Linked DNA regions of Daphnia pulex. The protein of the gene in region 1 purifies or fractionates together with the protein of each later gene. This does not show direct contact. Links are inferred from orthologs where the notes say so. Each region holds a gene or a part of one and is shown in the gene's direction. Other genes may lie near its edges.

Region 1 (4,058 bases):
CATCGGGTGGAAGAGAAAGGCGACGGAGATCAGGGATGGGAATGGATCAAGAAAGTATGTGTGTTTGGACGCTGCGCACAAGTCCAAGTGCCGTCGTCGGATTCAACCCCCACTCCTCCTTCCCTTCCTCTTTTTCCTCCCTCCTGACGTGATCAATACCTGAGCTACAGATTCCCCCATGCCCTATTTCAACCCCGCCAACGCATGTACAGCTGTGCAACCCCCCACCCATTTGCAATCGTCGCAAAAAGAAACAATTCACTTCCAAATGAACTCACTATCAAATTTTACCACCTGATATCTGCCTCTCATACGAATGCTACTGTTTGGATAAATTAGGGTCAGACTGCTGCATGTCACACAAGATTACTCAAGGTTTACTAGGCAGGATGGTATAAAAAAACCTGTGCTAATTATGAAACGAAGAGAGGAATTTTGAGAACATGCTTTGATTATGAAGGTGTCATGTTTCACCATCCAGAACTTTTATGATTGTGCAACACAGCGGTCTCCTTACCTTGAAATGAACGGATAGCTGCAGTACACACAAAGCAGTAGGAGCGAACTGGAAAATTGTGTCTAAAATGTCACTGAAAAATGGCTGTTTCAAGGAAACTCAGGATTCTTCAATAATTATTGAAAACGAAGGATGTCCCCACACGCACTCGACCCCCCTTTGGGTTCTTCAAAGCAAGTGACACAGATGGTGTAGCCCACACATATCACAATATGAAGAAAAACAAGGTTTCCACAGCTATTTGTAGAAAAAATAAATTGCACTTCACGAAGTTCGGTCTGGAATTCCTCTCTGATAGGCCGCAGATTCAAACTTTAATTTCAAACAGACAATAAACTGTCATGAAACGTAGATAATGTTAGTGTCACAAAAACTCGTTGCCTTTTCACTCGGTAGCCATATTGGAATAAACTGAAAACACCAGAGAAAAGAAGACTGGAGACCCGCAGACGAGGGAATTTTACAGCCCTGAAACTAGCGCTGTTTCAGACATAACGGCCACATAATAATATAGTGAAACACCAACTAAATTAAATAAATACATTGGCCTATGGAATTTGTAGTTAAATGAAATCGATAAAATATCATACAAATTTATATTAAGCATTCTGCATTCATTAAAGAAATACATGAAAATTTGAAAAATTTGAAAATCAAGTCTAAAACTTTGAGTTGCAATTTCCCTGATTTTATTATTTCGAAAACTGCGTTCAAATATTTTTAACAAGTAATTTAAAAAAATATATTAGACTTTGATTGTCTTTTCTCTTTCGACTTAAACGGTTTAAGTTATCCAAAGTTTTCATTAAACCATTCAAGGAGGCGCTGCTATCGTTTGACGAATACCCAGTCTCATTTTCTCTCTTACGTTGTAAATCGAAATATCGAATCGAAAGTTTGAAAGTTAGGTATCGATTCTAGTCCAAGCTTTTTTGACAAGTAAACAACGTAAATCGTACATTCGTACGTGAATTGTCTTGTCAAATTTAAAATTTGGGCCGAAAAATGGTTCCGGGTAAAGGTAATATCTCCAAAGGAAAAGGAGCTACAAATGTCAAAGGTTCAACGTCAGCCACTAAAGTCAAAAGGGAAAGAGTTTCAGAACCTGAGGACTCAGATGAAGAAGTTACTCTAGCTGATGTCCGAGCTGTCGACTATGGAAAGGTTTTACCTCGTTTCACATCCAGTAAGAACTAATTTTTTTTGTTTTTCTGTTGGTTTTCTAATTAACAAAGATATAAATATAATCAATTGTTTATAGTTACGGCTAGATCAGAAGAAGGGGGTGTTATGATGGATGATTTGGACACCTTACAAATGGAACTAGAAACACTACTCAATTGTGTTGTTTTGCGTTCCTTAAATTTACAGAGAGAAATTGCAGGAATGACTGAAAAGGTATTCATCAAAGTTTTTTTTTCATCTTGTGTCTATTTTCTGTTTGCCAACAACACTATGTGTTTTTTTTTAGCCTCCATCTCCTGGAAAACGATCAAAACAAGAAGAGCGTTCACCTAAAAAGTTCAAAGATCAACCAGGAAAGCTTAGAGATGCACACACACCTCCACTTTTAAAGCAGATGAAAATTAAATCTGCTCTAGCTGTACCTAGTTTCATGAAAAGTAGTTTTATTTACAGTCAAGTAATGATCTCTTTGATTTTATAGAAGCCTATCCCACCAGAAGGAGTTGTTGAGGAAATGCCTCCTTTAGAATTAATGAAGACATCAACTGCCAAAAATGATACACCAAACAAATTTTGGGCTTCTGTAGAACCATACTGTGCTCTTTTTACAGATGATGATTTAAAGGTAAAATGATTTGTATAAGATTAACATAACTTGGAATTAAATTTTTTTTCTTGTGGTAATTGATGTTTTAACTAAAGCTAGTAGAAGAACTAATCTCAACTCATAATGAGGATGAAGAATACCTCAAAATTCCTCCTCTCGGTCGCCACTATACACTTCGGTGGGCAGAAGATGATTTACTTCAGGAGCAAAGAGAGGGCTCTCGTTTCGGCGAGAAAAAGAAGATTACCTCTGGATCTTCTGTAGGAACGGAAGAGGCTCAAAGATTAATGGACACAGCAGCTAAAAACAAGTAAAAAATTAATATTTTTTTTTCTAATAGCCGCATATTGCTTAACGATAGATTTAATAACTCAGTGCTGAAACAAATACTACATCTGCGACGGGGATGTGCGGACCCATGACCCAGCGTCTCATTTCAGCTCTTTTAGAAGAAAATATTGTAACTTCTGTGCAGGACACAATGGAATCAGAAGGGCAAGGTATATTGTTCATTGTTTTCCTGTTTAAAACTAATGCCAACTAGCGGTTCGAAATTACTGTAACAGACGAAAACGCGAAATCTACTGGCACGAAGGCAGCAATGAATGGACCTCAAGCTGCTGCACTTGAACGTCGTATTCGTCAAGAGTTAGAAGAACAAGGCATTTTAACTTCCGAAGAAGCCAACGTTAATTCGGTAATTTATTCATTCAAAACACATTTCAGAGGTAGTATTATTAACCCCCTGATTAAGGCCGATGATGAAATATTGACGGAGTTACGTCGATGCCAAGGAGAATTGAGGGCCATATCACTGCACAACTTGAAACAACTGAAACGACTGTACCGCCTCAGTCAAGAAGAAATGAAACGTCAGGAAATACGGAAAAAATTGATTGCAGCGGACGCTGAGGTATTCATTTTTCAAGTGTCATCTCTGCTTATCGAGCTCGTCTACATTATTCCCAACTTCTTTTGAATAGGTATTAGACGTATATCGTAAAATGGCTGCCGCTAAACAAAAAAAACGCCCGTTAAGCAAAAAAGAAAAAGATCAGATGTGGAAAATACTTCGTGATCGTGAAGCGATTGTCAAACAGCTGGACACGGGAACGACTAGTATGTAAATATTTTTTCAAACAATACAAGACGTGTGTGATGAAGATGAACTAAGATGGTTAATTGAACTTTGCATAACAATATAAACTTTTAACAAGCCTTGTTTATTACTTAAATCAATTAGCATGTATTCAACAATGAAAAGTTGAGGTTACTTGAAGTTGATAAGAATTTAATAAGAATTCTTTCAACTTCTCCAAAACTGAGGATTCAATTCTAGTTTTCTAATAAAGTTAGTGTACCAGTTTCTTAAAACAGACATTGGGATGAAACTTTCTGATGGATTTGGTGTCATTTGTGATTGAGTAACAGCAAAACTTGCTGCATAATTGAAAAGATTTTGAAGAGTACGTTCAGCAAACTCCTGGAATGTTGTGGTGCTACTAGGCTCTGTAATGGCACTAGGAGATTGATTGGAAATGAGGCTAAGAGGCTCAATTGAAATCCCTATTTGAGCATGATGATGTATTTCCCCCTGGTGCACCCCAAACATACTAGGGCTATAACTTCCCGGATTCTTCTTCAAGCCAGTGATTTTGTAAATGCTTGACGGTTTGTTATTGGTGAGGTTACCTAGTAGTTGCCACACTGGTGGGGCTGATAGATCTGGCTCGGGCCACCTGAAGTACA
Region 2 (3,340 bases), on another chromosome or scaffold:
ATAAGCAGGTCTCCGAAATGTGCAGCCTTACTAAAGATACTTTCCAAATGAGCCACTGTTGAAGCAGTAAATCTAACAAATGTATTCTCTAATCCATAGAAACAAAGACTAAGAACCTAGTAAAATAAATGAATGTGGTTAAGAAATTTCTTCATGACATTATAAGAAACACTGTTTTACCTTGAGAAGGTTAAGATTGTTTGGATCGGAATTTAGGTGTTGCTCTTGGAATTTTATGAACTGGATGATACATGTGTTAATTACATCCTTTGATATTGTAGACCAATCCTTTTCTCCCGAACAGTTGGTAAAATTGCAGAGAATTTTCAGAATGAGAACTGTTTGATTATTGATTTGTTGTTCTTCATTCAATTTATTGATCAAGAATCCAGAAGGACTAAGCACTTTCTCCAAAGCCTAATTTAGTAATTTCAATGGGAAACATTATTGTTCAAAATTTTTCATTCATTCCCAGTTTCAGACCTACTTTAGTTTGTTTAACTTCTTTGAAGTTGACTGCCACAGCAAGACAATTGAAAATGTCAGTAAATATTAAATGATTTTCATTCTTAAGGGATTTTATAATCCAATCAATTAATTGCTCTGATGCTTGACTTGTTAAGTGTACATTTGGAAGTTGTAAAACTTGTTCCCATATTTGACAAGTCTTGGCAACTTTAAAAGATTCTTCATGTTTCACAATTTTTAAAACATCTGATACTAAAATTACAGAATCCTATAAACATAAGATTTTAAACAGTGAAATGAATATAACTTTTATGGAATCTTACTTGAACATTGACTGACGACGATTCCAATTCTTTCCTTTTAAGATCGAAGAAAAGGGTGTTCAGATTATCCAAGAAATTTGTTATTTCTTCCGGATTTGCATTTTTCTTATCTAACAATAGGTTGAGCTTTTCTCGAACCCCTGTCAGATAATTTGTGTCTAATGATTTAAGTTGAGAAAGAGCCATGACTCTATCTCGATTGTCACACTTTGTTTACAAATTGAAGGTCCTTGATTTTTTCGACATTTTCGTCTGCTATGTGTCGACGAAGTACCGAAGGCATCCGCTTGGTTTTTTTTTTTCTTAATTGAAAAATGTTTAAGATTAATGAAAGCGTGGTTCATTCAAAAGTTCATAAAAAATAAAGATTTTTTTTTCCTTACTAAATTTTGGGAAAAAAATTGAAATAGTTTCAAAATTAGCTTTGGCATTGAGGCAAATTCAAATATGTCTAGCTAGGCTAGCAGACTACCACACAATACCTTCTTTTAGGGTTCAGTTCAGACTTCAAACAATAACAAATGGAGTTTTAGAAAACACCGGTTGATATTACTATTTGGTACACGAATTATACCAACACAACTGATATTTTGTAAAAATTAGCAAAATTCTCAATCTCCTAAAAATGCCAGCTGCTGATGTATCCACTAATTCTTCCACCGATGGATGGTACATCTTGGGTAAGTTCATATTAACGACCAACAATGTCAACATTTCCTAACTACATTTAATTCGACATGTTTAGAAATCCAAAAAATGATGTATGGATTTGGCGACAGCAAATATTCGCTGAAAGAAACTGCTGAATTAGTAGAGAAAATTGTGAAGGAACAACTAATTCAGTTCCTGAATGCACTGTCTGAGGTTGCTGTTAAAATTAACTCAAAGAAAATTGGTATCAAAGAATTTCTAGTCTTACTTAGGTAGGTAACCTTCAGTTTAACAATATCTCAAGTTATTCAATATATTGAAGTGATTTCTGTTAAATTAGGCACAGTCCAGTTAAACTGAGAAGATTTTGCACCTATTTACAAGCCAGTGGGTTTAAGGATTTGGCAAAAGAAGATGATTTGCCTAAAGACATAATGACTGAATTTTCTGATCTTCACACTGGAAATAAAAAACTGAATTCTGCTCTTGCATTCCTACAACACCTTGATCCATCATGTTATCTGTGTAATGTGGCAGATCCATCTAAACCTTTCCTGTTACCTGATGATGCCCTCAAGGAACGAAATGAAAGGATTGAGAGAATGACATTAGCCATGGAGAAGGGGCAGTACATTGAATATTCTCAAGTATTTTGATTCAACCTAACTGCTTTTTCAAAATCTAGATTTAACAGAATTGTTTTTGTCAGGCCAAATCTACCTCATTTAAGAGAGGCCAGCCTTCTGGTAAATTTCAAGATTGGTTACTTAAAGATTCTCCAGCTCCTGAGGTTGCTTTAAGTGCGACAGCTTGGTCTATTCTCAGTTACTTTGCTTACGAAACCATCGCACAAATAGTAGATCTGGCCTTCATAGTACGAAGAGACAATATGGCTGGGCAAGTGAGTGACGCAGTTCAACGTAACACTGCACCAAGAGTATCTCCAGCGAATGCTGATTTGTTCAAGGTAAAAGGATTAAAATGAATGTTACAATAATTATAATCATTCTTTAAAACAAAATTTCCGTATTTTTAGCCGACATGGTCAAATTCGATGAAACCTCTTCAAACAGCGGAAGTCTCTGAGGCCATCAGACGGTTCAACAATACACACAACTCAATTTTTTCTCCATTCCGAAGAAATGGTGTTCCTCCTCCTGGACATCGACTTCTGGCACTGTAATTTAAACGTACTGCAAGGGCTTCAAATTCAATATGGCGAAAGCTGCGTCGTAAATTGTTAATATCACTTTCAACATCCAAATTCGTGCGTGCATTGTTGGATGCGATCGGTTGTGTTCATCCTAAAAATAGGAAACTTTAATGTAAAATTGTATGCAAGAAACCTGAATAAAGAATACTCACACATAGGGTGCGAACTGAACTGTAGTAATGGGAATAATCCTGCGATAAAAATAGCAAAAATCGCCATAACTCTGAAGTTATCTTTGCGATGCGAGTGAGTGAAAATTTGTTCAGCATAGGAACAAATCCAGCAATATATTTGGAGGTGATTTCAATTTCTGCTTTATGCTTCAGCAACTTAAAATTGGTCGTATCCAAACTTGGCAGTGGAGGGTAAAGTGAGCAATCCACTCCATCAGAAAATTTTTGAAGTATACAGGCAACCCTACTTCTGTTGTACAAAACCTTTATTGCTTCTAAAATAGAAATGAAAAATTCAATAATTAGTTATTAAAAAGGAACCATGATTTTGGTAAACTGAATACCTCTGAATTGAGGATCAATTTCTAGTCCAGCTAGTCCTACCGCATGCATTGGTTTTGTGGTGTCATTGTGCAAGAAATCATAACTGATAACAGCCTCTGTGATCCATGCTTCAGACATACTTTTACCTTCCGTTGGATGCCTGGATTTAACATGCAACTGTCGTAGCC
Region 3 (2,866 bases), on another chromosome or scaffold:
ATATGAAATTAACGATGATTAAAGACAGTTTGATTACCTAGTCTATTTAAAAAAAAAGATGAACCATTATTTTAGTAGAGATTTGTTTCTTAAATTGTTGTTATTTATTTATAGAGAAACTTGGGAGTAAGCAAAACTTGTTCATTTATCCGTCTCATTCAAAAGAGCGTCAGACTTATTTCTTCAACTTTTTGTTTTTCCATCCACGTCTGATTTACAGTTTCCGATGTGGGCGGATGTAGGTCTGAAGGGGCCAATGGTAGACAGCGACACAGCGTATATCAGTTTTGTATCCGTTGCCTGGAGTCGGAGTGGATGAGTAGTATCCCGGGGCATATCCTGCCTTTTCTCTGATTCCCGACTCTCACACTTTGTGTAGGATTTGAAAATATATCTTTGGATCAAACTTGTCTTGAATTCCATGACCTGATTTGTAGGCGACTGGGGATGGTAGGAGGTTTCCGAGAAACGAATTTTATAAGTGAAAGTTAGAGTCGCAAATCAATAATCTAACTTCTCGTAATTTCGGCGTTTGGCAATCTATTATTCCCTATAGGCTATATACGGGTGTATAGCAAGCGATTATCCATTCAAAAGTTTTCAGGTACACACAACAGTCATTCCCTTGTAAGATTAGCATCGATGGAAATCTAACTTTTGGCTGCTAAAGGAAGTTTGGGTCCCTTTGACTCGGAGATGTAGAGTGGCTTGGCGAAAAGGAGGAAAGTTTGTTATCCTATTACACATGCCGCTCTTGACACTATCTAACGACAAGTCTAACGATCTTTTGCCGTCTTTTGCGTACGTCATATTTGGTGATCTCCATCCATTCCGTCAAAATCGTTATTGAATCTAATAAGAACAGAAGTGATCACGATTGTTAAAATTTTCATGTCGATTTGTTTTAACATCCAAGTGTTGTTCAAGATACAATAAATAATACTAGTAAAACAAAATCGGTTCAAGTTAGAATAACCAATCTAAGCTGCTGAAGCAACAATGTACTGTAAATACTAAATATTGGTGTAATAAAATTGATATTTCACTAGTTTGATATTTAACCTATATCTTGTCTGTTCATATATTAAGATCTGCTTATCTTCTTCGTGCTACATAAAAAAAATTATTATTTATCTTTATCATACGCCTCTTTATTATGCGACTCGCGACTGCTGGTCTAACGGGGGCGAAAAACTTATTTGTGCAAACGGTTAGAATATTACTCACAGATGGCGATGTGGTCTTGGCACTTCTTATTTTCCCGCCCTTTATTGTAGCAGAAGCAACATCGAAATCATCAACTGTGACTGTGTATTTGTTTCAGCAAAAATCTGAAGTTTTCAAGTGTCGGAGTGTTGGTTTCGGTATAATCGGAAATAAATTATTGTAGGAGAAGTTTTGACAGGTAGGATGTTTTCTTTTTCCTATGAAAATCTTGTAACAAGTGTAGTTAATTTTTTAAAAAGTTTCTAGAAATCTCTTGGAAATGACTAAATGGTGTTATTATTTGAAATAATAAGTGACATTTTCTCTCTTTATTGATTTGAATAGAATTCATATGATGAAATATATGTTTTGTTCAACTAATGTATCTAGCTGATGACAGGAATTTTGTTTTGATTTTCCCAGGTACGTAAGCAATGGCAGAACGACCTGAAGACTTAAACCTTCCCAACTCAATAGTAGCAAGAATCATAAAAGAATCCTTGCCAGAAGGTGTTAATGTGTCTAAAGAGGCTAGAACCGCCATTGCTAAAGCTGCTTCTGTATTTGTTCTCTATTGCACATCATGCTCTAACAATCTGGCTATGAAAGCTAACAGAAAGGTGAATCACAGAATCAGAAAATTTTGTTCCATTCTCTCAATTATTTACTAAAATTTTTTTGTTAAATAAAGATCATCAGTGGCCCGGATGTCCTGGGAGCAATGGCTGACATGGAATTTGAAAGATTTATTGAACCACTACAGGCTTCTCTTGAAGGTAATTTCTCTTTTTCAAAACAATTTTTAGAATGTCAACATGTTCTTTTCTTTTACAGTGTACAAGAAAGCACAGAAGGAACGCAAAGAAGCTATGGCTAAACGGAAACAGGAAAAATCCGACAAAAAACCGGAAGATATTGAAGAAGGATCAGATGAAGGTGGAGAAAATGATAATGGAAATGATAATGAAAATGACAATGAAAATGATAATGAAAATGAAAAGGAGAATGAGGATGAAGAAGTGGATGAATGATCTTAAATGACAAAAAAATGTGTGATAAAATTTGTATTCGCACGACAAAAAAATTAATAAAAGAAAAAAAAACACGACCTCAAATAGTTTGTATACTGTGAAAATTAAAGTGTGATTTACGTCTCGAAACGACAGTAGCAACAGACAAGATAAAAATGAAGAAAACATTTTTTTTAGGATGCCAAAGGCACAAAGATATGACCGATGAAAAGCTAAAAAGCAAATAAATAACATTATGAGTGAACCTGCAGTCGTTTAACGATGGTTGCCCGGCACATTGGGCATTGATTTAGCTTGTTGCCACATCCAGAACAACAACATAAGTGTCCACAAGAAAGGAATATAACTTGGCACTGTTTAATATAAATGCAATTAGAATGAATTCGTTTTGAAAAATTGAACTGTAATAAATGTAAGCTTACTGAACTGTCCAAGCATATGACGCAATTAGTTTCCATAAAAACTTCCATCGGAGGAGCGGATGCCACCTCCTCATCATCGAGTACAGAGGAAGGCGCACTTGGAAGATACTGTTGTGCATGTTGAATATTATCAGGCATGTTATCGATTAGACGCTGATACTGGACAAGCCAATAGTCGGCCGCTTGGTTCTGTCGCTGGACTTCCAT
Region 4 (4,347 bases), on another chromosome or scaffold:
TCTGTCGACCAACGAGTCAAGGTACTTTTTAAAGCTCTTCTAAATTGTATATTTGTAAATTAATTTACTTATTTTTTCTCTACTCAGATTGTCGATCCCAATCAAGTCTACGATACCATTAATCTGGGCCGACGAATTGATGTTCTCTGGCCAAGTCCAACAATTCGTAACCAAGGTGGAAAATCTTATTGGAAATCATGGCTTCCCGAAGTGGGTATGGAAGGACAGGTAAGAAAACTATACGCGATGGGTGAATAGTTTTCCTTTTACTGTACTTTGTGTTTGATTAGGTGGTACATCGTTGGGTGCCTAATCATCCAGATTCGCGACAAAGATCGCACGTGGATCGCGTCATCCTTCTCTTGAAAATAGACGATAAATACGTCCCAATCGCCGAATCGGCGGTCGAAATTGCATCATTGGTTAGTGTCAACATCGGGGATTCTATCGTCGTTAATGATACTAAGCTTAAAACCCAGGGAGTTGCTGATTGAAATTCCCAAACGCCGCAGTGTTTTTTTTTCGAGTCCATTAGGCTCATCGTTGTAATATGAAACGGTATTTTGGTTTGAATGTGAACCCCGAAATTTGTTCACGAACCTTGTTTTGTAAATAATGTTTGTGTTATGCGGAAATGCTATGTGTTATTTGACATTGACTAGGAAAAACCACTGTGATTTGAAAACATTGTCAATAACGTTTACCGAGTTTTTCAAATGTCGAATGAAATTTGAAATTGAGTAATTCGAAACAAATAAACTTTTGGATTGTTTGTAGTCTAGGAACTATATATTTAGATTTTTCCTTATTCAACTACCGCACCCGCCTCATAGTTACTGTTAATTATTAAAATCACGAAAATTCCCGTGTTAGTAGTGACACAAGGAGTGATGGTGAGAAAGTAAACACTTAACAGTCGCATAGAGGAGTGACTCCAGTAGCATAAGAATGCGCCTGTCATTTTATTTGGTGTCTGATAGAAAAACTTGTCGGATTTTTAAATAACAATAGCAGGGGTATGGAGAGAAAGATATCTCCATAAATCTCTCCATACCCCTGACAATAGTATGCCGGTATGCACATAGTTTGAAATTTGAATATTATGAAATTGTTGATTATGAAAGAATCGGTGAACGAATACGATCGCTCTGATACGATATAGATGTTATACCCTTGAAAAAGTAGTAGTCTAGAAAAAAATCGTGCGCAGTTTACGCCGATGCGCACCACAGCGGCAGATAGCAGAACTAAACTTTTTTTTACGCTTGACTACCTGTCTACTTCAAGTCCTTTGTTCGACAAGCAGTCGGTTCTCGTCTCGTTTCTTGAAGTAGACAGGTAGTCAAGCGTAATAAAAAGTTTAGTTCTGCTATCTGCCGCTGTGGTGCGCATCGGCGTAAACTGCGCACGATTTTTTGCTAGACCACTACTTTTTCAAGGGTATAACATCTATACACAATACACATAAAGTTGCATAGAATATTTGCATCGTTGTTGGCTTCTTGCAGATAAGGGGGCATAAAATTAATGTATATATTTTGCGCGCAAGAAAAACTCCGCGCATATTACAATTTTTGAATTTTTAAAAAATACGCTTTAGTCTCTTTATGTCATTGCCACTTCCCACTTGCCAGTGCCAGCAGACGACCAGTGACCAGACGCTTTTCTGATTGCCGAGCCTCTGTCACAGTTTTACAGACACATAGTCAACGCATAAGAAGAGCGTATTGCTAATCAAGATTACTACTCAAAGTTAAATTTACTTTTGCGGTGACAACTAATTAACATATATTTTTTTATTGATTGTTACATGTCAACAAATCTGGTTAAAATTATAGTCAGGGATGCTGTAGTCTTGACCTTGATCAATGGATGAAGTAGTTATTCGGATTCTGTTCTTTGCAAAGGCCAGAGAGTTAGTTGGAAAAGATTTTGACAATATTTCACTTTCCAGAACAACTTCAAGAATCACTGGGGCAAATCTTTTGTGCATCATTACAGAACAATTTCCAGCTCTAGAATCCATATCAAAGAACATTGTCCTAGCTGCTGATGAAGAATATGTTGAATTTGATCAGCTTATAGACATTAAAAATTGCAAGGAAATTGCAGTGATCCCACCATTAAGTGGTGGCTAGGTCGCTAGGATTCTTCATAAGCAGTGTGCTACAGCTTAATTCGCCAGAGCCCTTCAATTGTATTTTAAAATGGATATTATTAACTTAGTTGAAGAACAGCTTGATGTGAATTCAATCTACTCTAAAGTGGTTGAACATTCTACTGGAGCTGTGTCATTATTTGTGGGAACAACAAGGAATAATTTTGAAGGAAAGAAAGTAATGTCAATTTGAATAATCTAAAGTCAAATATTTCTAAATCAAATTTGCTTTATATTTAAGGTGATTAGTCTAGAGTATGAAGCTTTCAAGCCAATGGCATGTAAAGAAATCAAGAAAATTTGTGAGAATATTAGAGAAAAATGGAAGGTTAAACACATTGCATTCCACCATAGGTATAATTTTTTTTTTTACCATACTGTAGTTATAATGAGGAAACTTAAGAAACATTTTTTTGTTTGTTTGTTTGTTTTAATTACCTATTTTTCTTTCCAGATTGGGAGAAGTTCCGGTTGGTGAAGCAAGTGTTGTAATAGCTGTTTCATCCGAGCATCGAGCCGAATCTTTAGAGGCTGTTCAATTTGGGATTGACGCGCTTAAGAAGTCTGTACCAATTTGGAAGAAAGAACTTTATAGTGATGGTGCTCCTGAATGGAAAGCCAACAAAGAATGCCTGTGGACAAGTAAAAATTAAACAAATAATGCTTAGTTGTTCCTATTTGTTGTATGAATTTTGAATTCATAACAGTACTGATTCTTAACAAGTAACACAAATATTGAACCTTAATCGATTTTCCGATATCAGAACAATATTTGAAATGGTTTCCAGTACTTTTCATTAGTTAAAAATCGGAGCATGAACGTTAGTTTGGCTGTAGTTTCAATCTTACTAAAGTGATAATATCTACGTAGTGCTGTCAAGTCTGACATTTAAAATATAAGGTTTTTAAGGGTTTTTAATTCTCTTTTTATTTTTTAACTAAGCAATGTTAACATTCATTTTACTTATTATCCAAGTACTTTCCAGTTCCCAACGCTTTCCAATCTTTGCCCTTTCATTATATAATAACATATACTGTGTGATTCTAAAGATGAGTAGCTGCAATGCTGCATTCTACGCACTGCTTCAATCTATTAGACGTTTTCGTGTGGTTCGACAGCTTTGCTGCCTATAAGCTTTAAGCTAATTATCTGACGGAATAGGGACAACCACACATAGACGTCCTTTATTTAGTATTTAGTTGTGACTTCTGCATTTGTTCCCTTCACTGCCGCGTACGTCATTTGATTATTTGGCTTATAGAAGTATGGCTTAAAGAAAGCACAAGCGTTCAGAAGTTTTTATTAGTCAAAATTAAAAAAAATAAGTACGAAAATATTCTAATCTTGTTAGGTGGGGAAATTCGGGATTTGAAATTTTTTATTTCCATGAGAATGAGTTGTTGGAATATTTGCTTGATGTGATAGATGCTTAATAGTCAATAGCATGTTTTGAATTGATATAGATCAAGAAGAAGACGCTAGTCTATCTAAAAAGAGGAAAATAATGGTGGACTATGCAGCTGCCGATTGCGTTCAGATCAAGGCTTCAAATTTAGAGGTATTGTTGATCCGTTTTACTTTTATCAAGTCTTTTCTCAATAAATATTTTAAATGTTTTTAATTTTTCAGTTGGGAAAACGAATTACTGCGTTTATGGAACGGAAACGATCAGAGTCGGACGTATTCAACGTTCAGGAGTTCTGTCACAGACTACCATTAAACGAATTAGAGAATTCATGTGCTCGCACAGAGGCAGTGCTTGTAAGCAGAAAAGATAGTAAAAGTCATCTAAAGGGTAAAATTATTTTATTTTAAGGATTCAACGCTGATTACTGATTTCTTTACGTTTTAGTGTCGAGATGCGTAAATATGTGGGGACCACAAACACACTCTGAAGTTCCGGCTCCATCTTCAGTAAACACCAAATTGAATCCGACTCCTGCTATCCAAGAACGGCTACAAAATATGGAAAAACACTTGGGTTTTAATTCAAGAGAACAACCTATTCCACTGGATGTGTACGGACGCTTGAAAGCCCTTGAAGATAGAATCCTTCATTTGGAAAGCATTAGTCCTGAATATTTCGACGGACCGTTTAATCTTCAGAATAATAAAGAAGATGAAGATTTGATATCAAAAATTGAACAAAAAATGGATGAATTACGTAGAAAATTAGTATAGTACCACT

What was found.
Region 2: the proteins of transcriptional adapter 3-B-like (region 1) and transcription initiation protein SPT3 homolog purify together in Drosophila melanogaster (affinity purification with western blotting; 3 studies listed by BioGRID, with this or other methods). This does not show direct contact. The link is inferred for Daphnia pulex from reciprocal best matches to the Drosophila melanogaster genes Ada3 and Spt3.
Region 3: the proteins of transcriptional adapter 3-B-like (region 1) and DNA polymerase epsilon subunit 3-like purify together in Drosophila melanogaster (affinity purification with mass spectrometry; 3 studies listed by BioGRID). This does not show direct contact. The link is inferred for Daphnia pulex from reciprocal best matches to the Drosophila melanogaster genes Ada3 and Chrac-14.
Region 4: the proteins of transcriptional adapter 3-B-like (region 1) and molybdopterin synthase catalytic subunit-like purify together in Drosophila melanogaster (affinity purification with mass spectrometry; 3 studies listed by BioGRID). This does not show direct contact. The link is inferred for Daphnia pulex from reciprocal best matches to the Drosophila melanogaster genes Ada3 and Mocs2B.

Annotation. Positions count from the first base shown.
Region 1 is NC_060019.1:11,487,499-11,491,556, reverse strand, and holds transcriptional adapter 3-B-like, read left to right. Parts: upstream 1-1,370; 5' UTR 1,371-1,522; coding exon 1,523-1,703; intron 1,704-1,778; coding exon 1,779-1,915; intron 1,916-1,988; coding exon 1,989-2,120; intron 2,121-2,183; coding exon 2,184-2,327; intron 2,328-2,404; coding exon 2,405-2,619; intron 2,620-2,684; coding exon 2,685-2,809; intron 2,810-2,875; coding exon 2,876-3,006; intron 3,007-3,063; coding exon 3,064-3,222; intron 3,223-3,292; coding exon 3,293-3,436; 3' UTR 3,437-3,526; downstream 3,527-4,058. Other genes in the region: protein OPI10 homolog, read right to left, coding at 3,616-4,058.
Region 2 is NC_060027.1:750,330-753,669, reverse strand, and holds transcription initiation protein SPT3 homolog, read left to right. Parts: upstream 1-1,252; 5' UTR 1,253-1,416; coding exon 1,417-1,471; intron 1,472-1,536; coding exon 1,537-1,714; intron 1,715-1,782; coding exon 1,783-2,089; intron 2,090-2,151; coding exon 2,152-2,409; intron 2,410-2,448; exon of another isoform or gene 2,449-2,478; coding exon 2,479-2,625; 3' UTR 2,626-2,626; coding exon of another isoform or gene 2,627-2,746; 3' UTR 2,747-2,807; downstream 2,808-3,340. Other genes in the region: HEAT repeat-containing protein 6-like, read right to left, coding at 32-116, 181-417, 488-736, 792-977; DALR anticodon-binding domain-containing protein 3-like, read right to left, coding at 2,627-2,746, 2,808-3,103, 3,173-3,339. UniProt on the Drosophila melanogaster protein: Component of the transcription regulatory complex SAGA, a multiprotein complex that activates transcription by remodeling chromatin and mediating histone acetylation and deubiquitination. The SAGA complex predominantly acetylates histone H3.
Region 3 is NC_060025.1:6,579,711-6,582,576, reverse strand, and holds DNA polymerase epsilon subunit 3-like, read left to right. Parts: upstream 1-1,257; 5' UTR 1,258-1,405; intron 1,406-1,606; exon of another isoform or gene 1,607-1,629; 5' UTR 1,630-1,640; coding exon 1,641-1,826; intron 1,827-1,897; coding exon 1,898-1,982; intron 1,983-2,040; coding exon 2,041-2,237; 3' UTR 2,238-2,314; downstream 2,315-2,866. Other genes in the region: E3 ubiquitin-protein ligase LRSAM1-like, read right to left, coding at 2,471-2,590, 2,660-2,866. UniProt on the Drosophila melanogaster protein: Accessory component of the DNA polymerase epsilon complex. Participates in DNA repair and in chromosomal DNA replication. Histone-like protein which promotes nucleosome sliding of ATP-dependent nucleosome remodeling complexes.
Region 4 is NC_060026.1:10,881,496-10,885,842, reverse strand, and holds the start of molybdopterin synthase catalytic subunit-like, read left to right. Parts: upstream 1-1,481; 5' UTR 1,482-2,207; coding exon 2,208-2,336; intron 2,337-2,399; coding exon 2,400-2,512; intron 2,513-2,612; coding exon 2,613-2,800; intron 2,801-3,622; coding exon 3,623-3,717; intron 3,718-3,788; coding exon 3,789-3,954; intron 3,955-4,011; coding exon 4,012-4,340; 3' UTR 4,341-4,347. Other genes in the region: pecanex-like protein 1, read left to right, coding at 1-21, 88-228, 291-494. UniProt on the Drosophila melanogaster protein: Catalytic subunit of the molybdopterin synthase complex, a complex that catalyzes the conversion of precursor Z into molybdopterin.